Coturnix japonica: one gene and its partners. Each later gene encodes a partner of the first gene's protein in a complex. Links are inferred from orthologs where the notes say so. Each region holds a gene or a part of one and is shown in the gene's direction. Other genes may lie near its edges.

The links.
Region 2: GTF2E2 (region 1) and GTF2H5 share a complex: the UniProt entries of both Homo sapiens proteins name them as parts of the TBP-based Pol II pre-initiation complex. The link is inferred for Coturnix japonica from reciprocal best matches to the Homo sapiens genes GTF2E2 and GTF2H5.
Region 3: GTF2E2 (region 1) and POLR2K share a complex: the UniProt entries of both Homo sapiens proteins name them as parts of the TBP-based Pol II pre-initiation complex. The link is inferred for Coturnix japonica from reciprocal best matches to the Homo sapiens genes GTF2E2 and POLR2K.

Annotation. Positions count from the first base shown.
Region 1 is NC_029519.1:30,642,111-30,652,515, forward strand, and holds part of GTF2E2 (transcription initiation factor IIE subunit beta), read left to right. Parts: intron 1-1,134; exon of another isoform or gene 1,135-1,433; intron 1,434-2,685; coding exon 2,686-2,777; intron 2,778-3,319; coding exon 3,320-3,427; intron 3,428-4,622; coding exon 4,623-4,805; intron 4,806-5,249; coding exon 5,250-5,343; intron 5,344-10,405. UniProt on the Homo sapiens protein: Recruits TFIIH to the initiation complex and stimulates the RNA polymerase II C-terminal domain kinase and DNA-dependent ATPase activities of TFIIH. Both TFIIH and TFIIE are required for promoter clearance by RNA polymerase.
Region 2 is NC_029518.1:46,896,703-46,907,567, forward strand, and holds GTF2H5 (general transcription factor IIH subunit 5), read left to right. Parts: upstream 1-5,173; 5' UTR 5,174-5,273; exon of another isoform or gene 5,274-5,400; intron 5,401-5,538; 5' UTR 5,539-5,620; coding exon 5,621-5,655; intron 5,656-7,903; coding exon 7,904-8,084; 3' UTR 8,085-8,921; downstream 8,922-10,865. Other genes in the region: protein SERAC1, read right to left, coding at 1,381-1,512, 1,768-1,857, 2,135-2,271, 2,603-2,639, 3,959-4,049. UniProt on the Homo sapiens protein: Component of the general transcription and DNA repair factor IIH (TFIIH) core complex, which is involved in general and transcription-coupled nucleotide excision repair (NER) of damaged DNA and, when complexed to CAK, in RNA transcription by RNA polymerase II.
Region 3 is NC_029517.1:116,283,108-116,294,288, forward strand, and holds POLR2K (DNA-directed RNA polymerases I, II, and III subunit RPABC4), read left to right. Parts: upstream 1-4,931; 5' UTR 4,932-4,951; coding exon 4,952-5,026; exon of another isoform or gene 5,027-5,057; intron 5,058-5,827; coding exon 5,828-5,891; intron 5,892-6,595; coding exon 6,596-6,688; intron 6,689-6,857; coding exon 6,858-6,880; 3' UTR 6,881-7,346; downstream 7,347-11,181. Other genes in the region: SPAG1 (sperm-associated antigen 1), read left to right, coding at 8,517-8,656, 9,022-9,181, 10,872-10,997. UniProt on the Homo sapiens protein: DNA-dependent RNA polymerase catalyzes the transcription of DNA into RNA using the four ribonucleoside triphosphates as substrates.

The DNA of each region.
Region 1 (10,405 bases):
TTACTGTGATCATTTAACAGTTTCACTCTTTGCTCTTTATCTTTCCCTCTTCACTGGATCTAATTGAAACAGAGCCGCGTTGCTGCTGAGAAGGAGCCCTGTCTTTAGCATTTGCTACAGATACTTTTGGGGAATTGCTGTACAGTACCCACTGTTTCCTCTCTTAACTTTGTAGCTGAGGCTGTAGGGCAGGGCAGGTTAACATCAGCTGCTGCTGGCTGTGATTACAGAGTGCAAGGCTGAAGGAGCCATTGCTAAGCCTTTGGAATTAGTGCAGTGCTAACGAGAGTAGCATCTTTGAAAGCTGTCAGAAAACGGGCTGACTTCACACAGGTTTACTTCGTTCATAAAGGCACAATTTAAATTCATATTGTAAGCCGCTTCAATTTGTATGCAGTTCAGCTCCTGCATCATTTAGTGAGTTAAATGTTTAATGATTTGGCTCTATAAAGAGGGAAATGACTGGCAAAAAACTGATTTCAGAGCAGTGCTGAGGAAATCCTGTTTTTAAGAAGCCATAATAGGTATCTTGGGGTAACAGCATTTACAAACCTCAATGCATTTTCATCTTTCTGTGTGGTACCCAGTGCTCCGGTACTGACAGTGATATTAATACCCAAAGGGGTTGTCTTCCTACTTGAACGTACTGATTTCTGGAACATGTTTCTAGCACACCCACAAACACGCATTTCTTTTAGCTACTGCAATTGGTGAGGTTTGCAAAATACCCATCTGTGAGATACGTTTGTTAAATTTCAGCTCTAATTAATTGCTCTGTAAGGAAAAATGCCTTCCATGTCTTTTCTGCACAAACACACGCTCAGTTATGAGAGTGAGGCTGCAGAAAGCAAGCGGCCTCACCAGTAAGCATCAAACCCATTTTGTTTCCTGAATCCGGGCTGGCTGGGTTAGCTTGTCTCTAAGATGGAGTGGTCATCAGTTTGCCATTAGCACACAGACGGTGAGTGTCTGACAGTGCAAGGCAAGCACCCCGCGTTGAACAGAATAAAATCCAGCTAAACCTAGAGAAAAACCATCCTTGTAGGCTTTTTACAGGCTCATATGTTACGGGTGTATTTTATTGCAGCAATTAAGATGAACGTAAGGCAGCATTATAAAATAACGTGCACCTACCTCTTGTCTGTAAGGATGCTGAGTGAGCGCCGTGCCGTTCCCTGTTTTAATGCAGCCTATGGCACAGCTAAGATGGAGCTGTGCTGTGATAGGCCAGCGTGCGGTGCTGCTGACAACTTCCTTTATGCTCATTTCCATCTCCCCCCACCCCCAGGAGGAAATCATTCACAAATAGGCTCTTACTGCCGGAATTAAGAAGCCACTCCTTCCTATGCTTCATTTTTTGGGATGTTCACTGCACGATGAGCTTGTTAGCCAAGGGGTGCAGGGCAGCGGCCCTGAGCTGTCTGCTTTGCTCTGGGACTCAGGCTGTGACGTTATGGGTGTTCCTCCCTGCAGGGCCAGCCTGGCTCCATGTGGGGGGGTTGGGGGGAAGCTTCAGGGACTGCAGGCAAGCAGATTGAACGAGATAATCTTCAAGATTCAACTGACAAAACAAATACGTGATAAGTCGTCTTAGCTGTAGCTCAGCCCTGATCTTTGTTTTAGGCACTGCCCGTCTCTCATTATGTGTATGATTTTACCATGTTTCCTTCAAAGCAATTGCTTTCCTGTGATCCCGTAGGGGAAAATCTTTGTAGGCGGGGTCTGTATGGGGAGCTGGATTTTGTTGTTTCTCTCTTAATTTAGTAACCAGAATAAAATGTTCTTATGTAGCTGCAGTTGTGCTGGTTATCCTGCATTAATTTTAGAATTGGTTTATGGCTGTGTAAAGCCTCCATTCAAATGTTGTGGAATTGCTTCAGAATGTGCAGTTCCTGAGGTTGGGTGATAACCCAGCATGGCACCCACTGCAGCCTCTCCTGCAGCTGAGGTGCTTCCATTACTCTTTCCTGTCCCTCCACTTATTTTTCACAGAAACAGTAGGAATAGATGCACAGACCTGTGATGACATGGGGGGGAATTTTGCTTTTCTGGAGAAGTTAAAAATCTGGAAAGCTATTTCTGTTAGATTTGAGCAACATTATGCTGGTAATGGACCCGCAGCTTCTGGTAGTAGTTAGTGGACATTTAAAGTTAACATACTGCATTATGCAGTTAATACAGCATCATTAGCTCAACCTTAGGAGAATGCTGAAACAAATTTTGTGCAGTAACAGTCCTTGTGATACTTGTGCTACTGCTTAGTAGCAGAAGGGGATACTGAGTAACTGCGTGAGCAGGGCAACCTGCTGATCAGTCATCTTGAGAAACACAGCCTTACTTTACTGGGTGGGTATTGACTGAAATAAGCGTAACTGTTCCATATTGCTGAGATAGGAGTGGAAAGTCAGTGGGGATAATCGCTTTGAGTTTGCCAGTTTTATGGTTTAATACTGCAGGTTAGTGCTGCAGCTGCTCGCTTTTTTCTTAGAGCTCATGTCCTAGTATCTGTATGGATACAGAGTCGTGCTCAGAAGCATTCTGGAGCCAGCAGGTAGCTGCATGTCTGTATCCCCATCCTTATATCGCAGACCCCTCTAGAATGACTGCTCCTGAAATGTTTCTGTTGTTGGCTGTAGAAGTAGTTGTTGAAAGCGTTGTTTATGTGTTTATTTTCTCCTTTTGTAGATCACAGCAATGGCTCGTTTAATTTGAAAGCCCTTTCAGGAAGCTCTGGCTACAAGTTTGGAGTCCTTGCAAAAATAGTGAATTACATGAAGGTATGGTGGTTTCATGTAAAAGTATAATGCTTGGAAATGCTTTATTTTTTCTCTGTGATAGTAAGATGATGCTGAATGTTTCAGACTTTGAGATTTATTTACTGCACAAGACCAAGAATTTCAAGAAACTGGGCTGTTAAAATGTAAAATGCTGTGAGTAAACAAAAGGCCCATTATGTTGCTTCATCACTGGAATCCCAGTTATTCCAGGTCTGCTTAAAAAAAGGAGACTGGTTTTGTTTGCATTAGAACTTGGAATTTGAAGATGCTATCAGCTTTTAGGATTCATGAGCTGTTTATCAAAATAACTTGTAACTTGGTGCTTGACAGATAATTTTGTCATTTATCTCAGCTGATACAAACTGATTTTTCTCACATCTTTAGAGGCCCGAAGTTGGTACTCATATGCTCCGTGTGCTGTGTCTCTTGGTTTCACAGAAATTACTGTGTCATCACCTTCTGCCAGTTTTTTGTTACCCTGTGGTAATTGAGCTGCTGAATAAAGAACTACAGATCACTGATAGATCCTCTTTGTTTTCCAGACTCGGCACCAGCGTGGTGATACGCATCCATTAACTCTAGAAGAGATTTTGGATGAAACACAGCATTTAGATATTGGACTCAAACAGAAGCAGTGGTTAATGAATGAGGTAAAGAAAAGCTTTTGATTGGACACTGGAGGATAGTGATAAACTTGAACTGTATATGTTTATTTAATTACAGACTCTATAAATATTGAAGTTCTGCTTTTGAGAAGTTGCATTGATTCATGATTTGTCTTGTGCCTCCTGCTATTGAAATAACTGAAATGAAAGCTATTCTGACGTTTTTAAAGGGTCAATTAGAATTGCTGTTAGTAGAGCAAAGAGTAAGTTGTAATTGAGGTGAACTTCTTATTGCTAATCTTATACATGCAAACTGTTGTTTTTTTTAAAAGAAATTTCTTCTAAACAGAGTTCAAGCAGAAAGCCCTATCACTATCAAAGATTTCAAATTACTTAAGTGAAAGCCTTAAAACTCATACTCTCAGATCTTTGTTGTTTACTGAATTGAAGAATTCTGTTGTGAAATCTGTGTCTGGAATTGTGGGGTAATAGATCTCAAAGTTCCCCTGCTGGAGTTCATCAGTTTCATGATTTATGTTAGGTTTCATTCTTGCAGAGTCACTGCAACTTCCTGCTGTGTTCATCTTCGTGCTTAATTGATCCAAATGCCATCATGGCATTTCAAGACTAGTAAATCAACAAAACCCTGTATTTAGTATTTATACTTCAGCAATATCTGGTTTTGCTGATATTATACTTAGAATCCTTGCAACAAAGTAGTAAAGGTTGTTGATACATGCAGGGGGGTGGAGAAATCTCTGTAGTAAAACTAGGATGTTTTAAGTTATGTTTTTAATTAATACTAATATTCTGGAGAACAGAAAACTGGCAATGCTGCTATCATGAAAACTTGGCTCCACTGAAAGCTTTGAAGAGTAGCTCTAGGTTGTTTCCATAACAAATTAGAATATTGAGACTGAACCAAAAAGCTTATATAAGATTATCACTGCGTCAGTAATCCGTGATGGTACCGCGTGCACAGAAAAACTGATTTGGATCAGATCTTAAGTCGTTTCAATTGTCCATGAGACATCTTCACTCTGAAGCAGCACCATGAGAATGTTGTGCTGTATGTTGCAGTGAGTTATGCCCAGGCTGGATCTCAGATCCAAGGATTTAAAATTTGTTTCAAATTCAAACCTCCGAACTGTCAGCTATAACACATGGCTGACATACTGTAGCTATTGAAGTACTAGTTTGTTCTCTCTTTCAAGGTTTAAAATGTATATTTCTATTACAGGCTCTAGTCAATAATCCAAAAATAGAAGTTATAGATGGGAAGTTTGCTTTCAAACCCAAGTACAACCTGAAAGATAAAAAGGCTCTGCTCAGGCTCCTGGACAAGCATGACCAGCAAGGGCTGGGAGGAATCTTTTTAGAAGAAATAGAGGAAGGGCTGCCCAATGCACATAAAGCTATAAAGGTGAGTCACTCTTGTCTGGGCTTCAGCAAAACTCTTGGATAGGTTCTCAAAGGAGAGGTAAAAGCTAAGAGAGAATTTTCTGAGTTCTTTTTGTTCTTGTGGTGACTCAGAAGATCTGATTTAGTACCTTTTTCTGTACGTCGGCCTTTATGTTTAGAATTGACCTGACAGCACAGCTGTCAAAGCTTTCTTACAAAAGGTGCTTTATCTACTATGTTGCAACTGAAGGCACTTAATTGTGCTTTCATATCTTGATCTCAGCCCTCTATATCTTGTCTTTGCTTTATTAATGCATTTATTGATGGTGTCCACTTTGGTTGCATTTTGTTGCTTGTTATTTTGCTGCTCTCTGATTCATTGATCTCTTTGTAGAACAGGATCTGGGTCTGTTATTCTTAAAATAGAACTGATTTGGGGTCCTTTTTTTTTGCATTTGTTTTAAAGGCTTTAGGGGACCAAATTCTCTTTGTTACCCGCCCTGATAAGAGGCAACTTCTTTACTACAATGACAAGAGCTGTCATTTCTCTGTGGACGATGGTAAGTGTTTATTTACATCTGCATCCATGGTTTAAATTCAGCTTAGACAGCTGAATGTGAAGATAACAGGACTAGCAAACGAGTTCAGGGATAATAACCTCTGTTTTCTACTGAATGCATTGGTACATGGCACCAGGAACCCTACAATTCAAGTGTAGCTGAACAGAAAAGACTAAGAGTTGTCCATCTGTGGCTTAGATGACATCGAATATTTTGCTGCAGAAAAGCAGATGAAGAACAGTGGAATTTCTTTTGGGTTTGTGTGCTGCTTTTTGTCCCAATTTATTAGTCATGTACTTTTGTTGGTGAATGCAATGAGGAACCAGGAATTGAAGAAAAGGAACAAGCAGACTGGGAGGAGATGTGAGCAAAAGTACTGGGAAGAGTTGGTTTACGACTGGGAGGGCACCCTGAGTGTGGGCTGGTGCTGCTGTCTAGAGCTGGGAGTGGAACTCCAGAGCTTCAGCCTGTATTTTTTATCTTACAAATAGTGGTAAAGTCCTCTGACGTGAGTGTGCCTGTTGGCTGAAAGCAGCAAGAGGACAGGTTATACAATAATATATGTATTTACAGAAATTAGTTACGCCTGTCAGGGTGTGTTGCAATGATGACATCAGAGCCAATATCAGATATCTGTAAGTACAGAAGGGAGAATGCATTCCCTGGTAACAGACCTTATTTTAAATGGCTCAGGGACGCTGAATACTTCATGTTGATCACTTGTTGTTCCGTAACATGCCACATGAAGCCATATTCCAAAGCGTCACATGATAGTAAAAGAAGGAAAAAGTTGTCATCAGACCTTAAACAGCTGTATGTGCAAGGCCATAGAACAAAACGTAAAGCTCTTTTGTCTTAGAATAACTCAGAGGAACTCTTTATTTTAAACAGAATCAAGCAGCTTCTTTGTTCCATACCAGCCTTGGATTCTCATTTACTTAATAGCTTATTTCTGCAAAGATAATTTAGGAGATGTCACCTACAGCATTTAAAAGTATAAAGATAGTTTCAAAATATTATTTTAAACTGTAATTTCTTGGTTCTTTATAGTGGGAGTCTTAACAGTATATGAAATGAGGGATCGTAAGCCTCAATCGGCCTTTATTGGGGAGTTTGTATCTTCCCAAATGCCTACAAGTTTACCATTCATACTGTCAGTCTGTTCAGATTGTGTTTCTTGCGTCCATTGGCTCATGGCTTTCAGGATTCCTCACTTTGCCAGAACCTTTAAAAATCAGCTCTATTGCAGGCAAAGCTTTAAGTTTTTTAGCAGCTACTGGTTATATTACACTCCCAATTGCTGATCATTTCTTTTCCAGATAATTGGCACCCAGCTATTCTAAAAGAGTTAGCAGGATCTCTATTCTATTGCTTTCAGCTTATGGTAACTCCTGGATCTACTGGGAAATTGAATCAAAGGGTCCATTTTATTGAGAAGTTCAAAAGAATTCTACCAGGTCTGTTGAGGTGCCAGTACAGATCTGAGGCTGTTCGTATACAGTCTTCAGGTATTCTAGCACATGCGGCACTGATCAGTGCAGACCTTTGCTATAAAGTAAGGGAAAATGTTTTGTTGAAAAAAACCAAACCAAACAAAACACAAAAACACCAACAGAAAACATAAAATGTGTAAGCCGGTTGGCTCAGCCTCCCACTGGGAAAGGCCTGCAAGCCCCTACTGTCTGTGATGAAGGGACCACTAACTAGCATGCAGTGTGTTTGTAGTTCAAGATGGCCTTGCTTGCTTTCATCCGCAGGTGGCAGCATGTTCCCATCTGAGCAGAAAAGGATTCTTTTTGTTGTTCTTTTGTGCTGTTTTTGACTTGTCTTTGTCATGCAGAAGATGATGCTTTGTTCTGAGAGAGGAGGAAGAAAAATCTCTCTTAACACAATTTGTGATCTGCCTGCATATGCCACAACTCTTTCAACATTCCTGAGTGGGCTCACTTTGCTGTTGCAGCTGGGATGGGTCCTTTTTCCAACCATGTTATCCTGAGATGAGAAAAAACCCATCCTTCCTGAGCAGTCTTGCTTTGAGATTGTTTCCAGAGCCCTGGAAGCACGTCTCTTAGGGAGTCCTTGGCAGAATTGTCTCCGTACAGGATAAGCTATGACACGTTCCTGCGTTAGCAGTGCTATTTCAGCTCATTATCTCCAGCAACATTAAAACTAAGTTTTTTAGAAGGCTGCAAATAAGCCTTGAAGTGTTGTCAGACTCTTTGATCTAACAACTGATGATAGTTCAAAATATGTTTCTAGTTTAATGCTTATCCTTAGAAGTAAGGGCTCTGCACTCCAGTACGTGGTTTTGCTCCATGACACTCTCCAGTTTTGAGCATATGTTGGCTGGGGTTATTGTCCTCCATGGTTGCTCTCCCCTTGCTGTCTGAGCACCATCACCACTCAGTAGAGAAAGAGGAGCGTGAGGCAGTTTGGAGGTTGCTGCCTAAAGCAGTGGGACGAACTGGCAGTGCCTGCCTCTGCCCTGACCGCAGTTGTTTTGGTGGCTGAACAAGCTTTTCTTTCTCCCCTCTTGAAAACAAACCCCAGTGTACTTCAGAGGCAGTGCAGTACCTATATCGTGATCTCCAGGATACTGGGGAAGGTATGTGTAGTGAGGAACGGCTTTTGTTCTTCCTCTTATGTGATTAGCCAAAGAGGGTTCAGATTGCATGTGTTCCTTCTTCACTTCCTGACTAATTAATCTTCTGTCAGTAATGTGTAGCTGAAAGGGTTTATAAAAGCCGGGCTAGATTTCAGGTGCTTCAGCCAAGGCAAGCACTGCCTTTTTGTGCTGGGGCTAAGCACTTTGCATGTGAAGCAAGCTTTCACTGAGGGCCTGAATGCTGAAAGGCCACTCCAGTTGCTTCGCTGGTAGAGATGATGTTTTTCACCTCTGAAGGAAATGTAGGAAATACCGTAGTGCCCAGAAATGTGGATATTTGATTATACGTATGTTTAATATTCTTCCTAAGCACCTTTGAAGAGATTTTAAAGAATGGGCGAAGCCTATTAAATTTCACAGTATAAAAATTGCTCAGGATCAGTTGATGATTTATAGTTCTGGCCTTGAATTACAAGATGGTCCAGGCACAGCACTAAGTTAAAATCGGGTACCTTGTTTTTTCCTGGTATAAATGCAGAACTGTTACAGAGCAGGATTTCACCTTCCCTACTGCTCTTAATTTCTTTCCTTCTGCCCTCTCCGCAGAAGTGTTGTTGTCCATGCTTGTCCTGTACTCAGGTTTTAGCTCAGCTCAGTGAAGACTCTTAAGCTGTTTTTAATCTCTGACAGATTTTATTACCAGTATGATACAGAAGTTTATCTCCAGATCCATCTCAACCTTTTTGCAAGAGCGGGCAAGACAATCAGAGCTGCAGGGTAAGCTGCAGGAAGCCACCGTGCAGCCACTTACCCATGACACTGTTTCCCAAATGTAAGCATTTATGGAAGGAGAATGCGTTGGATTATAATAGCTCAGGGAACAGTGGCGAAAATTGCTTTTGTCTATGAGGCACCCCAGGCAGTAAAGCTGCAGAAACATCCTTACCCCTCAGGTATTTCACAGAGGAAGGCCATTTACAGAACTTCTGTTGTGCTGCCCTCTGTTCTGCTATGTGTACTTTTCCTGCTGGTCCAGGTTCATTGTTTTAAGTCTGTGCGTGCAGGCACCTTGATGTTAGGGATGCTAGCAAATACTGAAGTAGCCTTTCAGTCAGCCCCATTCCCTCCTTCACTATCTGGAGAAGCAGGGGAGCAGCCCCTGAGTTGTGCTAGTTCAGCCAAGCCTCTGGGTTGAAATATTTTAGTGATCAAATTGCAAGATACCGCGTACAGCAGGATTTGTTCACTCAGGGTGCTGCAACTGCAGCTCCCTGCCTGTTTTGGCAAAGACCTGCATTGCCATCAGATCTCCCTATGGTTTCACAGCCCCAGTGTTGCTTTGGTCAGAAACTCTTTGGAAATTTCTTTCCAGGGGATTTTTTCTCAGCTCTGTATTGTCATAGCAGCTGAAGTGACAGGAGTTGGCAGCTTGTCTGAGTACAGCCTGCTGTGGTCAGGTGCAGCCTTCCTTCTTGACTGCTGAACGGCCCTTGCTTTCCATAGTTGTTACTTGTCCTGGTTTAGCTATAAAATAGTTTTCTGACTCTGAATGAAGAGTCTACCACCCTCACCATGCTCTGCTGGCATAAAGATTGCCCAGCAGTTGACGGGACATAGGGAGGGAAAATAGAAAGTACTTTGGGATTGCCGCGGTTTTATGTGTAGCAGGAAGGCATGCATCTGAACCTGTTCTCTGTGCCTGGCTGGAGCAGGCTGGTGTGCAGTGAGCTTTCTGCTTCAGCAGTCCCCTTCCTGCTCTCCACACCAGGTTTCTGCAGGCCAGTTCCTTGTCACTGGCCCCTCTCGTTAACTACTACAAGTGGTGACTCTCTTTTTTGTGAGGAGTCGCAACAAAGGCCGGGGTGATGGTGATTCAGTTTCTTCTCAAAGTAGCTGGAGAAATCACATCCTGTCATGGATTAAGGGTATGGATTTTAGGCCTGGAGGGGCAGAAATGTGGATGGCTATTTCTTGGGAGTGGTGGTTATTGCCAGCTTTTCACATAGGCTCTCATGTTTCAGAGAGGATGTCACAGTAGTTCACAGTGTATTCCCAAGGTCTAAACTTTCACTAGCTGATAGGGGCATAGTCCTTGGTGACTGAATAAATCTGACAGGTAATATGGAAATGGTTCACTGCCAGCCAGCCAGCTGCTCTCTTTCTTCATTTCCTGCATTTAGTTCAGTATCTGGTGTGACACGGAATTGGTTTTGTGATGAGATGATAGATGTACTTCTTGGCTCTTTAGATGGAACCCTGAATACAAACCACAATTATGCACGACCATGTGAATGTGTCCTCACCTTTATGCTGTTCTTCCTGTTCTGAGCCAACCCTTTAACACAGAATATTGCCAGGGGACAGTTTTATTGTGATTTTCCACTTTCCCGGGCACTAAGGTATTTTAGTCCCGGCTGTGGGACTTCACCACGGAAGCTCTTCTGCAATTACTGCAGT
Region 2 (10,865 bases), on another chromosome or scaffold:
TACACTTTACTTGGGAGTTCAAGGACATTTGCTGCTTTAAGAAGAATTGGAGAACCTTAAGTTCTATACCATGCTTTATAGTATGTTTAAGAAGATACTGAAGTAGATTACTGCAGTGGAAATGCAAGTCATGGCCTGAAACAGTGACTGAGCACCTGGTGGGAAGGCAGAGCTAACCCAGGGGAGCTCAGGTGCATGCAATGCCCTGAGTGACTGAAAGGGGTGGAATCAGGATCCACCCCTTCCCAGACCTCATTTAAAAGTTGGTAGTGGAGGTGAGGGCATCTCCTAAGGCCTTCCAAGGGTAAGCAGCTCTTTTCCTTCATTTTTGCATCTGCAGCTCATTCTCATTTGCTGTAGCCAAAGATTTTGCCGCACAGCTATTATCACTGTACTTTCCATCCTGTTACAGCGTTACAGTAACAAAGGGGAAGATTTCCTACTTATTGGTGAGTTTATGACATGTAATGTAATAATAATGTAACTGATGATACCATGGCATTAAATCAAAGTATTTTTTTTTTCTGTGGAATACATCTGTGAAAATCCTTAAGATGTTTCAGTATTAAGGTAACAGTAACAACTAGGACAGAAAATGGTTTATTTACAATGCTTGTATTTGCAAGTCCTCTATTTCTAGTTGGTCACCACTGTTTTGCTGTGGTTACCTATCATCACCTAACCAATTTTATTTATTTATTTGTTTGTTTTTTTAAACTGAACCATGGCTTTAAACCCCTTTCTGGCAGAGCCTTACAGCAATTACTACCAGAACCAATGACATTCTTAACATCTCCAAAAGGCCAGGGAGCTAACGAACCTGAAGTTCTCTCTAGCACCAAGGCAGCATTATTCTAAATGGTGGTCCTGATAATCTGGTGGGGGAGTAGAGAGAGGCCCACACTGCAGTTATGTGCTGTGTATGGTAACTGTTGAGTCAAGGCCTGAAAGGATCTGGTCAGCCCTGAGAGCACAGGTGAAGGCCTAAAGGCTCATTTAAGGGCTGACTGCCACTGGGAAAGCATCTCTTTCTGGAGATCCCTCTCTTGTGGGGTTTTCCTTGAAAGCCTAGGTCTTTGGAGATGGGTGAGCATGTTTCTTTTTCCTTTGTAACACCATTCCATTCATGCTAGTCCCTTTGCTATTATACTCCTGTATCACCCTTCCACCATGTTGATCTTTCTGATTGTAACAATGAGGAAGAGTATTAGGAACAAAAAAACTGCTTACAGAGTAAAGAAAAACTAATTTTGGATCAAATTACACCTCTTTCAGATACTAGAAATTTTTCCAAGGTAGCAGCAGAAGCTTAGAAGCAGATAATGGAGACATTGTTACATTTTTTTTTTAGATGAATTGAGCTACACTAGCATACATTACCATGCCAGTGAGTGTTCTTTGCCAGCTCTTGCACAGCCTGCAGTCGGACCTCTTTGTCTTCTGACTGAGTCCTTTTCAAGAGGAGCCATAATGCACATTCATGATCTTCTCCATCAAACGTACTAAAGCGTTCTTTAGCAGAAAACACATAAAACCCAAATTATTCCTAATGAGCATTTTAACAGGCACATTTCTATTTCACTGAATTAAAAAGAAATAATCTGTTCTTTTTAATGCTTCAAAATTAGTTGTTAGTAGTAATTCAGAGAAATATTTTAACATCAAATTGCTGCAGTAAAATAGGACAGAATGACACTCACAACCTCCCTGGTTTAGGTTTTTCTATAGAGTACTATTCACAGGTAAAGCCACACTTTTCACACCTACCATTAAAAGGTCTCCGGAAAATTTTAGCTTCTGCCTCGAGTATTTTCCTTACTGCTCTATGGATTTCTTTTCTGGCTTGGTATGTGATTCCTAAAAGAGCATTTTTAGATTATTTAAGTTTGAAAGACAGATATTGCAAATTATTTCAAGATGCTGGCTGGCTTTTATTTCTTTTCAGATAGTCATATTTATACTTTGAGATAACTTTGTATGGATATATATCTTCAAGAAAAATAAATTAGGTGACATTGCAAAGAAAACTATTTTTGTCACATCTCAATAAATGTATCTGGCTATACAAGTAAAGTCCAGAAATTCTGTATGCTGTTAATTTTATCTTTCGTTTCAAAACAGTGACATATCTTACCTTGATATTCATTTCGATTTAGAGAAGATGTACATATATACACGTGGGATTTAAGCTTTTCTTGATGTATAGCTTGAGTATCGATTTGCAGTAACTTCTTTAAGGACCAAACTTCATATGTAATGAATACAAAACCTCTTTAAATGAAAGAAAACTATGTGAATACTATTAAAAAAGAGGAAGATAAAGGCAAAATTATCTTAACAATGATTTTGGCATAAATCATCCTTTATTTGTTAATTACAAATACCAGATTTTACCAAATACATAGAAGTCCATCGATTACATCAATTTAGCACAGAAAAAGGACTCTAATATAATTAAAACAAGTCAATCTACCAGAAGATATGCTTCAAAAATACAGCATATTTAAACTCCTCAAATACTGTCACACTTTTTGAAAGTAACGTGAATTGAAGTTTTCACTGTATATGTAATTTACATATAAGCTTGCTGGTTACAACTTACCCTAGTATAAGCGATCCAGTTACTTTTGCAATTTTTCCTTGAAAAATGAAAAAGATCATGTCAAACAAACTTGTATGTATCAAGTCAGTATAAATAGATAACGTGTGATTATCAGACAGTAGGAATTTCAGGAACTCTGAATAAGCTTTTTTTCTGTTTTTGTCTGGCTTTTAGAAAATCACAACTTAAATTTAAAATTAAATAAAATCTTGCAGAATTAGAATTTCCTGCTTTCTTAATCAAGGCAACAAAATGTTTCTTACTGCTGTTACTTACTTTGAGTGTTGCTACTCATCAATTACATTTTGTGCTCAGCTGCAAGAATCAACAGGAAAAATTCTGTCTATATCATCAGCATTTGCTTGAACCTCCACACTATGTTAAGGAGTCAACTTTTTCTTCTTGACTGGGTATTCAGTGTACATGAAAATCCCTGCAGAATCTCCCTAAGCAAATAGATTGAGTGGAATTTCTTGAAAAATATAACTTACAGAGCAAAGAGTTGAATAAACACATGCCACTTACAGCACCTTCCCTTTTAAATGTGAGGATTCATGTCAGACTTGAATTATTTGTGCTGGGTGAAGTTCAGCTGATTATCTAGACTTAAGGTTGTAAGTACAGTGCAACTCTATTGCTATGAGTAGCAGCAAACCCAATGGAATGTATCTCACCTATCATGAATAATTGGTTTTCTTCAGCATGAAGGAGGTTTGCCCTAGACCCACTGCCATCAGCTTCTGACTTTAAGAATTGTGGCATGCAGACAAGAAGCAGTTACATGCCAAAGAAATAACTGGCAAAGAAGAAACAAACAAAAAAAATGCAGTGATTCCCATAGAGCAGAAATGGTAAGAAATGTCCTGTCTTTTAGTGCTGGAAAATACACCTTAAAACAAAAATTCTTACAGTTCTATACACAAGGCATTAAAGAAAGCAGAAACTAAGCAGGGATGATCATAGAACTTAAAGAAGAGGAAAAAAAATTCAGTACAGAAGGAGAGAGAAACAAGGTTTGTTCGATTGCTGCTCTGTTACTAACTCTTTATGGATGCAATGCTTTCACTGTGCTAATCATTAAAAAACGACCAAAGATGAAACAGAAGTAATTTAAAATAATTTAATGAGGTTGTATTTTGGTGGGACTTCCATCATCTACATAATCTAGTGTTACTACTGCAATGCAAAGCAAGCCAGAAGCAGACATCCGCTTCAGGAAAATAAAAGCTTTGATCACAAGTTATGTGGAGATTTATGTCTCTTCTTGTCAACTTCATCATGCACAGTGTTACACCCACACAGACCTTTTCTTCTTTTAATAACACCTTTGATTGATACTTACAGAACTGTACTTACTTATATTATTCCAAGATGGGTGGTGTTTGGTGGCTGGGCCAGAAGTTCCTATTTGTCTACAGCAAAATATGCAGTAAGCAGCCACTGACATTCTGTATATTCAGAAAAAGAAAAAAATAAATAAATTGATTTGGCAATTACAACAGAAAACTTGTAGCCATGTTTCCCTTTTTACAGGAAAGGTTGTAAAGCATATTTATGTCATTTTGTGCGTTATAAAGCACTCTAAGTAAAAATTAAAAAGCCTATAAACTCCTGAATTTAGTAGTTTGCATTTTGGTTACAGCAAAAGTTTACAGAAAATCTTCATGCAATTACATATTTGTGCTAATACTGGTAAGTATCCATCTCTGACTACCTGCTCTGCTTTGAGGCAGAGGCATTTTTCTGTGATTCTTTACAGTGATTCTGTGATTCTTTACAGTGAGGGTGACGGAGCACTGGAACAGGCTGCCCAGGGAGGTGGTGGAGTCTCCTTCTCTGGAGATATTCAAGACCCACCTGAACGCCTTCCTGTGTGACATGGTGTAGGGAGCCTGCTTTGGCAGGGGGGTTGGACTCGATGATCTCTAGAGGTCCCTTCCAACCCCTACAATTCTGTGATTCTGTGTGAGGCCTTTTCCAATGTCTTAGTAATCCTCACTTAAACGCATCATGTTCACATGAAGACAGTGCTGAGTACAGCATATGACTTAGTAATTAGCTGTTCATAATTAATTTTATCTTAACACCCAAGTCTTGTATTTTGACTTAGCAGGCTCTAACAACTCATATACATTGTAGGCAAGTCAGATTTGGAAACGTTTGTCTTTTCTTGCTGACATACCCTGTAACATCACAGTTAATAAGGGATGTATTTTAGCATCTACAGATTGAGGTTCAATGAATGTACAGTTGTAGTGTTAAGCAATGAGGCATTTCAGGCCATGTGAAAGCACCGATTACTGTATGCACCAACTTTCTGCCCTGTCTCCTTTCAGCACTGCACTTATCCACTGACTTCATTTATTACATTTCTGATAAGCACGCTCTCCCTGCGGTCGCCTCCGCACAACTGGGGCAATGCCAGCGGCCAGCCCCACGCCAGGAGGGGCTTCAAGGCTGAGGTTTGACAAACACAATCATCGGACCACGGACAGACCCCATCCCTGGCCCCTCCTACTGCCCCGCCGCCATCCCCCTCTCTCCACAGCGCTACCCGTACCTTCCGCTTCCTATCTCCCTTCGCAGCCGGCACCGTCGCTCACGCACTCAACGTCATCACGCCGCACAGTGTCAGGAGGGCAATAGGAGGAGCGAGGGCTGCACTTGCGTAGTACGTGTATGTGGGGGCAGTGGTTGGGCTTGCTGGGCCGGAGCTACTCGTTCGCCGTCCTCGGTTTAACCTAGGGACGGGTTGGAGCCTGTCTGCCTTCGCCCCGGCCGCCTTTCGCAAGGCCACGGTTCGCACACGGCAACGGGAGGCTGGGCTGCTGTCGGAGGAGTGGGTGGGGGGATGGGGCATAGCCGCTCTGGGTGCTGGCGGGGCGAGGGGGGTCCTGGGTCGCTGAGTTCAACTAAAGCGTTTCTTTGTCTTACAGGTTTCATCTGCTGTTATCTGTAACCTCAAACAGGAGTCTTTGCTGCCACCCGCACCTTGCAGCGTTTGTGAGAGCTGCGAGGATGGTGAATGTTCTGAAGGGCGTCCTGATTGAATGGTTAGTGACAGCATCAGCATCTACTCAACTGTTTCTTTAGGACTGGAAATACTTTAGGTGCTTTTAAGAGTCTAGACCCAAAAATGTATTTGCTGTAAACTTCAGCCTGGAGAAGAGAAGGCTGCGGGGTGACTTTATTGCAGCCTTTCAATAACTGAAGGGAACCTACACCCAGGAGGGGAGTAAACTCTTCGAAAGGGCTGACAATAGCAGGACACGGGGCAATAGATCCAAGTTGAAGGAGGAAAGATTTAGGTTGGATGTTAGGGGGAAGTTCTTCACTAGGAGAGTGGTTACGCCCTAGAACAGGCTGCCCAGGGAGGTTGTGGATGCCCCGTCCTTGGAGGTGTTCAAGACCAGGTTGGACGGGGCCCTGGGCAACCTGATCTAGTAAATGTGTATGTTTGGTGGCCCTGCCAGGCAGGGGGGTTGGAACTACATGATCCTTGAGGTCCCTTCCAACCCGGGTCATTCTGTGATTCTGTGACACTGAGCAAACAGACAGATGAAAGGCATGGTTTTTAAGGGAAGAAGGAGAGAGACAGTTGTGGGTAATCTTAATTCCTGACTCATATTTTCAGATATGTTGTTTTCTGCTTAGACTTAACCATCATGTATTCATCTTGTTTGTTATATTGTAAATAATGTTAATTAGTTTTCATCCTGGGTGATGTGTTCTGATTCTAAAGGGAAATTTGTCCATGCTTCGTCTTTTGTTTTCTTTTTTTATCAATTCCAGTTCGCACACTCAAGGCTGGCTACTCTAAAATGAATATGCTCATAATTTCAGACAGTAAGCTGTTCATATCCGTGCAGTCCATTTGTTTCTATACAGTCTGAAGTCCCTAGACTAAGGTTCTGATAAGAATTACCTCCAGGTTAAAGAAAGTGTCACTCAAGGTTTGTGGAGTCATTATATATCATTACATTATGTACAGGATTTCTGCTGTATGTTTAAATTGTAAACATATTAACAGACTGTAACTGCATGAGTGCAGAACATCCTTCATGGTGCATACAGCTGTCTGCCTACTGTGGTTTACTTCTGAGCTGACTGGACATTAGCCAGCTCACATCTGAATGCCTCATAGTTTGGTATGAGCAGCTTGGAGCATGAATTCCACTATCACAAAAAGTTTCTCTGCTCCAATTTGGCTGCGTGCTACTATGCTGATAAACCTGAACGCAAGAAATGGCCTTCCTGCATTTTCTCAAGACACCCAAAGCAGAGTTGTTGACTAGCAAAACAAGAAATTCTAATATCTCAAGCAGACAGTACAGCCTTGTAGTTTTTTTGTAATTTATTTTACTTGCTCTGGAAGATTTGTGTGTTCCTGTACAATATTGTGATCATTTCCCATTTAGTATTAGCTTGAAACTTTATTATCCTCCCTGGAAGGAAATAGTTTGCCTGACAAGAAGTCTGTAGCATCTGTTATGCCATCAGAGTTTGAACAGCCCCTTGGGTAACTCACTTTTATGTTGGCTTTTCTAGCTGCTGGTTGCTTTCTTGTTTCCTTCTTGCCTTTGCATAATGGTAGCTGATGAGTCCATCCTGAGAGCAGATTACAAACCTGTCCCCTTGTTTACTTTTCAGATACCAATTTTTCACAACTCAGCTTTTCCAGGGCATCTTAGGTAAAAAGTCAGCAAGAAGTTTGGAAAAAATAAATACTTCTGAATGTGTTAAACATTAAAGTAAAACATTAAAATAAAACTATGAAATGCTGATAATATACAGATTTCTTCCTTCCCTCTGTATTATTCCAGTATATAGCTAAACTGTTCTGAGGACAAAATCTCAAGGATTATAATCTTCAAATGCTGAATAAGATCGGTGTTTCTGCTGTAACGTACATCTACTGGCACTGAGTGCACTCCTGTATGTTGATTATGTGAAAATATGTGTGTATTGCCTGACATATGCCTGGGCACACCAGCTTATGCTGTCTGGTACTCATAGTGTGTTGGTAAGGTACATCTGAAAGAAACAAGCAAAAATAAACCTCTGTGCACCCATAAAAAAGAGTGTGTGGAAGAAGACTGAGGACCACCCACTTTTGGTATCATTTTCATTGCTTCTTTGTGTAAACCTTGTCTTTCTTCTAACATTCTTTTGATTGCGAGCAGCTCTTGAAGTTGGTACAATTTTCCTAAGAACTTTGAGAATGTCTTAAAAGGATGCTCTTAATTTTTAGCTGTATCTTATTACAATGAGGTGGAATCTGATGTGTATTTGTCTCTGCAGTGACCCAGCAATGAAGCAGTTTCTGCTCTACTTGGATGAGTCAAATGCTTTGGGAAAGAAGTTCATCATACAAGACCTGGATGAAACTCATGTCTTTGTATTAGCAGAGCTGGTTAACTTCCTTCAGGAGAGAGTGGGCGAGTTAATGGACCAAAACTCTTTTCCTATTACTCAGAAGTAAAAAGATGAGAAATGAGATTGCTGCCAATTCTGAAAAAGCAAATTTCAGTAGTTTGGGTTGTTACTGTTTTAATAGACTGTGGTTAGTAAGTTCTGCATTAAAGTGGCTATTTCAGAAAGTGAGTAATTTTCATAGCCAAAATACTCTTGAACTGAATTTTATTTCTCACTTTGAAATATTATAGTGTCTTTATTAAAATCCATAAAATGATACACTTAAGAACATGCAGAGGGGTCTTTTTGATGCGTGATTTCTGGTTTTCCTTTAGAGTTATCTTGTGAAATGGTATGACCCAGAAATGAGTGATGTTTCTGTATTGGAATCCCTTATGAACCTTTCTGATGTGTTATATTCCTGTGGAATTGATTAAATTTGCTTATAGAGTGACTGATTGAATGTAAAGCAAGTCTGTGCTTGATGGAGCATCCCCATACATTGGAGGCATGGTCAGATGAAATCAAATACTTCTTTAACTTTATGAGTTTTGGATACCAAAATAATAGTTTGGCTTTATTTTTTTGTCACACATGTTACACGTACCTCATAATAATTACCTACTTTTACCAGCATTAACATTTCTGTGTTGTTCTGAGTTTGGGGAGTGGTGGTGAGGATTTAAGGTTTTGACACCGGGTGAATCGTGCATCATAACACTGAGTTGTAAACTGGTTATTTGCATATCAACAGTGGCAAATTGAAGGGGCAGCACCAACTTGAGACCAATCCTTTAGATATAACTGCTTGTGTGGTTGTTTTTTTTTTGTTTGTTTTTACTGATGCTAATATGTAATTGCAAGAATAGGAAGGCGAAAATAAAGAGTTGATTGCTCTATTTAATAAGAAGAAATTTGATTTTGTTTTTGTTTTAGCTCTTTTCCCCCTATTGCCACTTTGATAAAACTTGCAAAGATAAGTCCTCATTTCTTTACACTGAAAGTGTAAAAAATCTGCATGTGTAATGAGTAGATAGAACATCTTTCTAGTTTGTTCTCATGTACTTGAGGTGACCTCACAGAGTTCTGTGCATTAACAAGATCCTTTTCTATGTAAGTGATGGGATTTCATGGTTTTATTAATGTGGTTTATTTTAACTTTTCTTAGTTGGCATCATTGCCATAAGCGTCAAATTTCAGTCAGCTCTCAAGCTGAGCCTTCAAAAGTAGGTCTCTGAAAATAATATTGATGGAAAACTGCATTGCTGCAATATAGCTGTCTATATATAAATATGTACATAAAGAGAGGCTTTTCCAACCAGATAATAAGCCATTGGAGAAAATTAGTGAGCTTTTCTAACAAATCTTTCCAAATTTCCCAATTCCACAGAGGATTTGAGCCCTCTCTCTGCACTGACTTTCACAAATGATCCCATGAAAGCTGGTATTGCTTAATGATTAGTGAAATGAGGCATTACTCGCTATGTCAGGATTAGATCTCCATGTCTGTTGTATAACTTAGACATTGGCAAGGCTTATGTTTGCTATACGTAAGTATTTCAATACACTTTGTAGGTTTTCAGTGATGGGAAAACAGATTTTTCCTAAATTAAATCTTTGGTCTTATGACTTACCAACCAACAAGACATTTCTAAGTAATAGGTGCTCTGATAGAAATATGATATTAATCTCTTTTAATGTGAATAGAGTTGATCCTTTACATCTTCGTTTTGTACCAGAAGAGGTGTGGGCCTAACAATTTCAAGGCAGACCAGTAAGGGGAGCTCTTACCAACATTTTAAACTGCTTTTTGTAGAATTGCTGCAGCATAGGTAATGGTGGGTCACAGTTTTATTGTGCTTTGAAGCATTAATATCTCACTCTGGAAATGCTTTAAGCTACAGATGAACTATTTTAACTTCAAAGAATCCCAGTGGAAAGACATTAGTGCAGGAGAGTTTGGAATGCAGTTTATTTAACTGAAATTTCTTAGATGTTTTAGTTACCTCATGTTTTCTTTTTGTAGTCAGGCTGCCAATCCCCCCACGTTATAATAATGCAGCTTGAAACTGTCATTTTCAGATGTTACTGCTTGGTCTCAATGTCTCCACACCACCACCCAGCTTTCAGAGTTGCTCTGTATCAAGCCACATCGTTTTCAGTGAGTATAAATAAGAGGCCAACAGCAACAAAAACAGTTCCTGAGTTGTCCAAAGGAAAAGTTAACACATTTCTATAATAAAAGTTTTAATGTGAGGACATACACTGTGATACTTTGCACTCTAGTGGTTATATTTTTCATATAGGAAAAAAAAATCATAATAATCTATTCTCTGATTGTGTGGCAGAAATAAGCAGGTTAATTACAGAAAATAAATTGCTTAATGTTAGGACTATCTAGTTTCCAAAAAACACCTCTTCAGCTGTAATGTTTAGTGTTTGAGGACTGTAACATCCTTCTGGTGATGGCTGGGTTGCCATTGGGTAAAGAATCACAGAATTGTAGGGGTTGGAAGGGACCTCTAGAGATCATCGAGTCCAACCCCCCTGCCAAAGCAGGCTCCCGACACAAAGGTAAATTGGGTAGCTCTAAATGGCGTGAGAGAAGGGATGAGGAGGAGCCAAAGACAAGCATCTAAACAAGTTTATCAGCAGCTTCAGGAAACCTGAATTTTTGAAAGCTAATCAATGTTTCCTTTTTGGCTTTGAGATGTAATATAAAAAATTAACTAAATGCTGAACCCAGGAGGAGAGAAAAGAATTCAGCAATAGCGATTTCGGCCCCTCAGAACCTGGCTCTGAGGAGAGCTCCCGCTCACGACAGGCCACCGGCCCGTGTGTGGGGCGG
Region 3 (11,181 bases), on another chromosome or scaffold:
GGAAGAACTTTGCAAGTACAAAAGTGTTTAAGAACTACTATATATTCTCCCCCATCCAAAAATAACAAATGCTGATGCATACACTTAAGTAATAATTGTAAGAATACAGAATGACTGATTTTTGCCATCCAATAACGTGAAGTTTCTTCACCTTGCCCCAAATCACAATAGATTGCTGCTTTATACACACAAGATATAATAGTCATAAAGGAGACATTGCAGACAATGCTATTATAAGGGTTGTTTCTCACAGGAAGAAAAAAAAGTCAAGAGCCTCAAAGTTTGAAGTGGCTGATTTCAGTGGGGTGTTGTTGGCCTCAAGACCTGGTACCTTGGAACAAAAAACTGGAATTCATCACTGAAAACAAAACTGGAATTTTTATAGGTGGCTTAAATAACAAGCATGAAAATATCACTATTCATATCACTGACACAGTCAGGACCTAAGCCACCAAATACAGCTGAGGCAAACTCAAACTCTTAGGGAAAGAAGGGGGAAAGAAATTATCCTGTGATGATCTAGGGTCAATTTTCAACCTATAATGAAGGCACTCTATAAGAGTTGCAATACAGAACATAACTTCATAGAATCACCAAGGTTGGAAAAAATCTCCAAGATCATCTAGTCCAATCATCAACCTACCACCAGTATTTCCACACTAAACCATGCTCCCCAGTACAACATCTGTACATTTCTTGAACACCTCCAGGGATGGTGACCCAACCACTATCCCAGGTAGCCTTTTTCAGCACCTGATCACTCTTTCAGAGAAGAAATTTTTCCTAATATCTAACTTGAACCTGCACTGGCACAACTTGAGGACATTTCCTCTTTCTTGTTGCTAGCAAAAAGAAAGAATAAGCCAACAACCACCTCACCACATCCTTTCAGGCAGTTGTAGAGAACAATGAGCTCTCCCTAGAACCTCCTCTTCTTCAGACTGAGTAACCCCAGTTCCCTCAGCCACTCCCCATAAGACTTGGGCTGCAGACCCCTCACAGCCTTTTTGCCCCTCTCTGAGCACCCTCCAAGACCTCAGTGTCCTTCTTGTAGTAGGGGGCACAAAACTTGCGTGTAGTACTCGATGTATGGCCTCACCAGTGCTGAGTACAGAGAGAAAAACACCTTCCTGGTCCTTCTGGCAGCTCTATTACTTACATAAGCCACTGGACTTCTTGGCTACCTGGGCGCACACCACTGGCTCATGTTCAGCCAAGTGCAACTAACACCCCAAGGTCCATCTCCTCTACACAACTATCCAGACATATTGCTTTGTTGTCTACAGTGAGTAGACTGCAATGCCAGTCCAGAGGACCGTGAAACTTGAGAACAGTCTGTGAGACCCTGACATAAAGGTCTGTGGAACCAGACTCATGGCAGTACAAAACAAGATATGTTTAAATCAAAGAATGCACCTAAATGAAAAGAATTTTTGCAGAAAAATTAGAATTAGAAGACAAATTTGGCCTGGTTATTTTCCCTTTCCCATATATCTCTACGAGTACATTATTTTCATCTTACTCTAGTACCTCACCTTTGCACCTGCTTTTCCTCATTGCTTTTTGCTCTTTCCTTGGATACACTCATTTAGCAAAATGAGAATGGAGGAAATTTGAAATACCACAACACAAAGTATATATTACGTTTTTAAGCAGCATAAAATTGCAGGGGAAAAAAAGGTTTTTACTGCTGTTGGGATGATCAGAACGGCAGAGTTAAAGCAGCGTTGAAACCTTAAGCAAAAGTGAAAACTACAATGTCAGTGAGCCAACGTCCAGCAGGAGGAGCCTCCGAGCTTCCTATATGGATTTTGCCTGTATACTAGTTATATTCATAAAAAATACTAGTTATATTCATAAAAGCTACCTCAAAAAACATTTTCAGACTCATTTACTGCTTTATAAGGCACTCTTATTTGATCTACCAGTTTTGATGTATAAAACCGAGAGTTTACTACTTCAGGATCTTGAAGTAATTGCTGGAAGTGTTAGGTTCCTTTTAGGCATCAGGAAACAGACAAGCGAGGAAGAACAGACTAGTCATATAGTAAGGACATATCAAGCTTGCTAGAGAAGAAGGAACAAAAGACATGCCTGTCCCTTCAATTTCTCTAATAGTTTTTTCCAATTCTGTAGTCTTCAAATTGGCCCACAAGTCAACAGCAAACTTTCTGGCAGTTTACAGAACAAAGAATTTCATGTTCATAGAGCCAAACTAAATAAGGGCAGCATTTGGACATTTGATTGAGAATAATATATGACACACCTAAGCTTAGAAAGCATTCTAAAATGGAGGAGGAAAGAATGCTGTTTACTGGAAAGCAATGTGAATGGCTTCTGTACCACAGATGAGTTCTAGAATGGAGCTACCCAAGCTTGATTCTAACTTACATTCCTTGGTAATGCACCCTGTACAAACCTGCCTCTAACAAAATATTTTCTACCCTTATTTGTCACTGTCCATCCTGTTAACCGAACAGATAAAGGTGAAGCTTTGGTAATACAGATCTACTTTATCAGATGTTTCATTAGAAATCATACTTGCAATAAAACTGACTTTATCTGAAGTCTCTAGTCTTAGAGCTCCCAGATCTAATGCCATCGATACCTTAGTTCAATCCTTTTTGTCAAATGGGGTTAACTTACCCTATTTGTGAGGCAATTGAAGATCCTCCACAGCAAATATACTGAATTCAAAGCACTATTTAATCCCTTACCGACAGCCTAAAGTGAGACAGGGCACGAGTAGAAAAGAGAGGTACAAAAGAAACGTTAATAAGAAGTGGGACGACAGCTGAGAAAGCTTCCCCTCTGTCTATACATGCTTTCACTGCCACATCCACCTACCAGCAATGAGGATAACTGATGCTACCTAGGGAGCAGTGTCGGGGTGAGGGGGCTCTCTCAGTCACCTGGACTGCTGGACACGAACACACAGCTTCACCTCCTTATCTAGCACACTGCTGGGCTGAAGAAACCGACCATAGAGGCCCCCACCACCGAGAACAGCCTGAGGAGGTCGGCGGGGCTGCCAAAGGAGATGAAAGGCGAGGCTGCCCTCCCTCCCGGCCAGCTGGCTGGGAAAGGCGGGGATCCTGCCGCCTCCACAGCTCGCCGCCCAGCTTCAGGGCCCGTTGCCCTTAGTGAGAAGCCGCTTCGCTTCTCTCCACCCACACCGGCTTCTCACGTGCGGCTGCAGCCGCTTTCCCTCGCTTGGGTTTGAACTGCCCGCCTTTACCAACCGCTCCGTTCTGCCACCCCAGTAGCGCAGCCCTAAGGCGAGAGCAGGGCGGGGGACGGCCTGAGGAGCGCTGCCTCCAAGGATGCGGACGGCACCATCTGGGCTCCGTGCTCTCATCGTACTTTATACTCCAGCTCGGCGGCTCCCGCCGCTCCCAGCCCTCCATAAAGCGCCCCGGTGCGGCCCCTCTGCCCGTCCCGTTCTGTCTCTCTCAGGAGCCGGGCTGAGGCGTTCCCGCTGCTCACAGCTTCTCAGAGTCGGGCGGGAGGCACCTTCAGCGGGTAGCCCGAGCCCTCACAGGTGGAACGTTGTCTGCACCAAGAGCTTAAAATCTGAGATGTAAGGGTGCTGATTAATTCATTTTAATTAGCTTATTTGTACCCGACAGCTCAGGAGCTAGATAATCATACAGAACTTCTGTTTTTTCTTTCATGGTTTACGCTTACGGCTCCACCAGAAACACTGTGAGATAAAACATGCTTTAAATCGTTGGGAGTAACTCCGAATGTAACGCCTCCACCCAGGGCAGAAAGATGGAGGTTCTCCGTGGTAACTAAGGCTGAGCAGGGCGGGCTCCATCCCCCCCAGAGCGGGGAAACGGGGCGTCTCGGTGTACGGGTAGTGCGACCGGAGGGTAACTGTAACGGGTAAAAACATTAGGGTTTTTGCGCTGGTTCCTCGTTCCATTTTAGAATGCGAATTAAAGAGTTTAGAAATGGAATCCAGGGTTTCCCAAAGTGCTTTCTGTAGCAGTTTCACGCCAGTCGGAAGAATTTCTCTTCAGGACCGGCGTTTATCAGCCCGTCGGAACGGGGCTATACCCCGAGGGAGGCGGCGTGAGGCACAGAAGTAATGGACGTTTAAAAAGACTCCATCCCACCGGGGAGCAGTTAAATGATGGATATAATCAAGATAATGAATGATTTTCTCGGGACAATCGATATATATTTTTTTCTCATGGGGTATAATTAGTAAGTAGGTTTTAAAGCATCACCTCGATGCTTTAATCATTTCGTCAAACCCGTTTTAAAATACAAAACGAGTGCGGGGAAAGATTATCGGCTTTACTTTAATTTCAGTGATTAGTTACTTGTGAGGTGTTAATTACTTTGTGTCCATCACCGGAGGAAGGGATCGTTCCGTTTTGGTTGGTTGATTTTTGCTCCCGGCAGCAGCTCCCACCTCGGAGGACCCGGGGCAGCGAACATCACTGCCGTGCACGTCCCGTTATTCTTACATGTGTTTTATTCCGGCACTAAGAAGTTACACTTAACTTTATTTTCGCACAGCAGCAAGACAAAGCCGATGAGCCGCCTAGAAATCCTTAGCACGTTGTTATTACTTCTAGCTTTCCCCAGGAGACGGTTGTTATTCGGCGTTCGGAAAGACGCATTTCCTCACATCAGGGAGATGTTATCTACAGAGCAGTATTTGTTATACGTTCTTACGTACCTGAGGACGTGCCATTACTCACACAGGGACGCCTAAGGGGCACCCAGCACTCGCCCAGCTGTAGGGCTGAGCCGGTGACTGACAGCACCGCGGCTTGCCAGTTTGTTTCAATGCGGGAATACATGGCACAGACCGCAGGGTACCGAGATTTAGTTACCAGCGCCAGGCTCAGCTCACTAGCGCTTCCAACTCTCACTCCCCCAAGGCTCCATCAGCCGCTATCCGCTGTAAACCCGACACAGCGCCTTAAGGACGGCGATGCAGACCCGCCCCCTCCGGCTTTGCGTAGTGACGCCATCATTCGGCGCCGAGGGGACGGCGAGGAGTGTGGAGGTTGGTGCCGCTTTCGGCTTATCCCTGCCGGGTTGGTGGTGGTGGTAGATTCGGGGTGAGGGGGGAGTGGGGAAAGGGTCGACCAAGCCCCTGGGGGTCAGTGGGGAGGAGGCGTGGCTGGCGCTGAACCGAGGCGGGCTGGGGGGGGATCATTGAATCATAGGCTCATAGAATGAGCTGGGTTGGAAGGGACCTCAAGGATCATGTAGTTCCAACCCCCCTGCCTGGCAGGGCCACCAAACATACACATTTACTAGATCAGGTTGCCCAGGGCCCCGTCCAACCTGGCCTTGAACACCTCCAAGGATGGGGCATCCACAACCTCCATGGGCAGCCTGTTCTAGGACCTCACTGGTCTCCTAGTGAAGATCTTCCCCCTAATATCCAACCTAAGTCTACCCTCTTTCAGCTTAAATCCATTTCCCCTTGTCCTGGTATTATCAAGAAGGGGAGAAAAAATGCTTTCTTTCTCTGTATGGTCACAACCTTAAAACGTAGGTCTGCAGTAATACCTACATGTTAGGTGGGGGTTGCTAAAAAATGAATTGTTTGTGGAGTAGTTGTCTGATATTGTGAAGGAATGTTGGTGAACCTGAAGGCAAAAGGTTAGCGTGCCAGGACAAACAGAAGTCCTTTCCAATGTGTATCATCTTATGTAGCATATATTAAACAGAGCTTGAATATTTTTGTATTTATTTTAAAAGAACTTTTTCAATTTCTGTCAACTTTAGATGGAGATATTGAAATATTTGTGTAAGACAACAACAAAAAACATGTATTTTATTTGTTGTTTTTGCTTAGAACATGGATTCACAGAAGGACGTTCAGCCCCCAAAGCAGCAGCCAATGATTTACATTTGTGGAGGTAAAGAAAAGACATTAGTGGTATTCAATGCTCTAATAATGAGGAATGTGCAGTCATAGTGCCACAGAGTACAGAAATCTACATAACTGGGTTGTGGATCCTGATGATGCATTAAGCTTTATGCACTGATGCTCCCATATGCATGGATTACTTGTGGTTATTGATGTGGAAGTCGTTCACTAGAACCTCTGTTGCTGTGTGGGGGTCCTGCATCTCTAGAGGATGATAGCAGAACTTTTATATATTGCATCTTGGAGACAAAGTTTTTTTGGAAATAGTGTTGTCATTCAACTTTCACTAATGCACAGTTGTCAGATTTTCTCTACCTAAACATAAGTTAATAAAGTGAAAATTGGAGCTTTTGAGTAACCACTTTAAAAGCCTCAGAAAAATTTAGGCTTAAGAAAATAAACTTGGTGGCTCGGAGGGGCTGAGAGGAAGGTTTCATTAGTGGAGTGTGGAATGGTACAGTAATGTTTGGATACTTTTTAGCAATCTAAGTTTGCCAATTCTTTTTTTTTTTTTTTTCCTTAACAGTATCTTAATATAATTCAGTTACTTATTAAAATTCACTGCAATTATTTTCTGTTATGCTTTGTTTGCTAGTAAAAGGAATTAGACCATTGTTACATCTGAAAGCTATCTGTGCTTTAGATATGCTGCTTTTGTTCACTCATTGCTATTCTCCTTCTCCATCATATCAGAATGTCATACAGAAAATGAAATAAAGGCAAGAGATCCGATCAGATGCCGAGAGTGTGGGTACAGAATAATGTACAAGAAAAGAACAAAAAGATGTATCCTTTTACAAAGGCAGTCGAATGCATTTGGGAAGCTGTGGGGCAAGCTGTGTAAGAAAATTGACTTCAGATTTATGCATTCCCTCTTTTTGTTCTCCTTGACCCCTTTCCTCCCCTGATCTTTCCTTGAACTGCAACGCATTTTTCTTTAACTGCACAATTCCAGTGGTGGTTTTTGATGCCCGGTGATTTGACCTGAAGATACATCAATTTTATACTTCAGTTTAATATTTCTGGCAACTTTGCTCTGTAAATCCATTGGTGTATAAATGCATAGTTTAGTGGTTTAAGATATTAAAATATTAAACTTCACTGTGATACTACTTGCCATACCATCTCAATTCTGTCTATACTACTTTTAGAAATGGGTTTCTTCCTTAAACTTTAGTCAGAATGTGCAGCATTCTGTTAAATTCATTGGTATTATATTCATTTTTGAGTTAAGTGTTAACCTTGTTTTCACAGCTCACACCTAAGCCTTACCTGTGTTTCAGCTCTTCAGTGTTTTTTGGACTCCTGTGAACTGCATAAGATAATCTTGGTTTGAATAAATCCCAGTGAAGACATATTGAAAGTCACGCAAAATCAGGTCTGAAATTTGGATTTGAACTCGACAGGACCCAAATCAGGATAAAAATAAATGTGTAAATAGAGATTCTCAGGCTGTTTTGTGACCTTGCTTGTACTCACTAAAATAAGTAGGTCTACAGTATAAAGAAACCTTGGATAAGGTAAAACTGAAATAACGTCATTTTGCTTTTCGGATGATTTCTCATGAGTCTGTATTAAGAAGTGGTTGCCGTTTTGTACTGATAAGCCCAAACTTTTTGCATCCATTTTCCTGTTCAGAACATTTATATTCAGAATATTTAATACTAAAATACCCATAGCGCCAATTTGTCTTAAAAAACACTGCTGCTTTGTGTGTGGTGCTAATTTAGCCTGATTAAATGCTTGCAAATCCAAATTTTGTTTCCAGTGCTGATGAGGCTGTTGAAAGACAAACATGTCATTTCACTGTTATCTGTACAGTATGATACCACTATTAGGGGGTGTGCTGGCTGCTGCAGAAAGCAACAGGGATGGGTTTTAGTGGGCCCAAGGTTGTGGGCAGTGGTGAGGCTCAGGGCACTTGGAAGAGCGTCGGACTGGATTTAGACTGGATGAAATACTACACTGAAAGCTGATGTTTTATGGAAGCTCAAACTCAACGGCTGTATTTCTGAAGGGAATACCCTCTCTGAAGTCAAATCATTTTTAAGAACCATTTTATGGAAATTATATTTAATAAAATATAAATTAAAGCAGTGTTATATGTTCCTAATAGTCAGAACGTTGGAGAGCTGCAGCTCGAGCGACCCCGCGCTGACAGGGCCGGCCGAGCCCCTCAGCTATTCACTCACTACGCGGCGCTCCTTCGCCATCGCTCCGCTGTGCATGCGCGGGCAAGGCGGGCGTCCACGGCGGAGGTGAAGGCTGTTAGGAGCGCGGTAGGTGGGTGTCAGGGCCGTCGTGTAACTCCGTGTCCTCCACAGAGCCGGCGGGGCTCTGCGGCTCCTCGCAAGGGGTTGGCTGTGTGGTTTCTTGCGGCTTCTCCGTCTATTACCTCCCCACAGCGCCGCCGGCCGCCATGTTGTACATAGCAACGGCTGCTATGTTGCCATTGCTGCCTCTCGGTAGATCTCCGTGAAGAAGAAATCGTGGCATCAGGTCATCAGGCAGTAGTTCTGCTGCAATTAGTACCTTGTAGCATTAAAACACGGCTATTCCTTAAATTAGCATTGCTCTAGCCCCCAGAGATTTATTTTTCTTTTAATGTTTAGTGATGAGTGATGCGTCAATAATGTATTTGCTGGACCAAGGAACTACTAAAACATATCAAATACCTATTGGTCATCTCGACTACAAGTTCATTGAAAAATGTACGGATGTTCCATACCTGGAAAAGATTCTCAAGGTGCTAAGGTAAACGTTATCTTTAATGAACTTCATTACTAATTGTATTCCCATTCTATCTCTCTTGAACCTCTTTGTAGTTTTCGTATTTAAAACCTTGAAATTAAGATGCACTGTGAAAGTAATTGTGGTAAAAGCGTCCAGATGATTAAATGAAGAGTTAGAAATTCAAGTCCACAGTGGATCTGTGTCTGTATGTCTGCTGGAAAATGGTTAACTGAGATTTTCTGATCAAAATCAAGAGGTGATAGATTTCAGTTAGAACAGGAAAATAACACTCTATAGTCACTGCATACAGACAAGTATGGATGTTTGTGGGGAATGCAGCGTAATTTAGTTCCCCTGTGTAACTTGCTTATGTGTTCATTTTAAAGGTCTGGTGAAGAGGGATGTTATCCTGACCTGATGTTGTTTTGTGAAAAGCGTATCGAGCATTTAGCTCCAGGGAGCAGAGTTCTCAGAAAGGATAAGCCAGCAGCCACAGCAGCTGATTTTACAGCTGAGGAATGGGAAACAATTAATGGTGAACTGATGGTACTGTATGACTCTAGTTCATTGTGGTCAGTAATGTAACCTCTTTGTTTGGTCAGTCTTGACTGATTGTTCAACCTCATTTTGTGCTTAAGTAGAACACGATTATTTGATTAAATGAGGAAATGATAGGAGGGTTCTGTTGTGGTTTTCTTTGTTAATATTTATTGAGATAATGCTAATTACTCTTTAATACCCATCATAACTCTACAGAACATATTTGTATATTATTATTCATTCGAAAAAGCTCAAAACAATTGCAAACTGCGTATAGAGAATGCACTTTTCACAATCTTTTCATGAAAGAGCAGATCATTTTTTCCATACTGTTCAGTATGGAACATACTGAAGATCTCTTTGCAACTGAAAATATTGAAGAAGTCTAAGTGGGCATAAGCATTTTAGATTATATTATTTTAGCCAAAAAACCAGAATCTCTAGTAGTGTCATTCCTTAGTAGCACCCCTTGCCTGTGATAAAAAATCCAGATGTATATATAACAGAAACACAGAATCACAGAACTGTAGGGGCTAGAAGGGAACCATCAGAGATCATCAGGTCCAGCCCACATGCCAAAGCTACAAGCTGCAAAGGTAGGTGTTCAGACAGGACTTGAATATCTCCAGAGGAGGAGAATCCACAACCTCCCTGGGCAGCCTGTTCCTGTGCTCCATCAGCCTCACTGTGAAGAATTTGTTTTGCATGTTGGTGTAGAACTTTTATGCTCCAGTTTGTGGCTATCTGCCCTTGTCCTGTTCCCACAGACCACTGGAAAGAGGTTGGCCATGTCCCTTTGACTCCCACACTTAAGATATTTATGAACATTAGTAAGATCAACTCTGAGTCTTCTTTTCTCAAGGCTGAACAGACACAGGCTGCTCAGCCTTTCCTCATTGGGGAAATCCTCCAGGCCAGTTATCATCTTTGTAGCCCTCTGCTGGACTCTCTCTAGGAGATCCCTGTCTTTTTTGTACTGGAGAGCCCAGACCTGGACAGAGCATTCCAGGTGAGGCGTGACCAGGACAGAGCAGAGGGGGAGATTCACCTCCCTTGACCTGCTGGCCATGCTCCTTAAATAATGAAGTGATGCTTTTTATGGCCCAGAAATTAACATGCTATGAATTGAATTATGTAGGAAAAGATAAAGCAGCAAAACTAATCTTACGAGAAATTAAGCGTATCTATTTTTAATTAGAATCTATGAAAAAACAGGTGAATGCTTTTTGTTGCTTTGTAAATGTAGAAGGTCAGTTGGAGGCAATTTTGTTCATAGCATGTTCTAATCAAATCATTCTCTTTCTTCTTGAGACTAATTGTTTCCTGTCTTTTAAGGGTGATTCTCCAAGTGCTTCTGAATGATTAAAAGCACTTCTATTTTTTGCATATTTCTCTTTATAATGGTTACCATTTTGAGGCTCTAAATGATGATAAAGGAATGTGCACTTGTGCTGTGTTCATCATTAGGTTTTCTTGAATTGACAATGTTATGAATAGAAATAACCCTTTAAACTTAAGGAACTTAAGCTTATGTTTAAGGTTTTAAAGCTTGATTTTAAGCTTTATTTTTAATCTTCATCTTAATTGCTTTTCCTCACGAAGAGCTTTGCATTGTAAGGATAGTTGCAGGGTCATTTTAGACTATGATGTGTATCTGTTGTACAGCTTTAAGGTACGGAGTCTTACTTATTTTCAGAGCTGGGTGGCAGAAATGAATGAAGATGATAATAAACCACAGTTTTTGAAAAGAGGCACACTGCATGAAGGACAGGATAACTTGCCTCCCATTCGTTGTTCCAGCAGCTGTCTCCCCACTTTCCAGGTATCTTCAGTTTTCTCAAACATTACTTTTACAAAAGTATGTTAATTATGTCTATCCAAAATCAGCAAATTCAGATTTTAAGAACTTCTATTCATTGAACCTCTCTCTTACTAGATGTATTTTGTTAACCAGAAAATAAAACTCTTTAAAGTGTCTCGTAAGAGACCAGTGCTTAAACAAAACT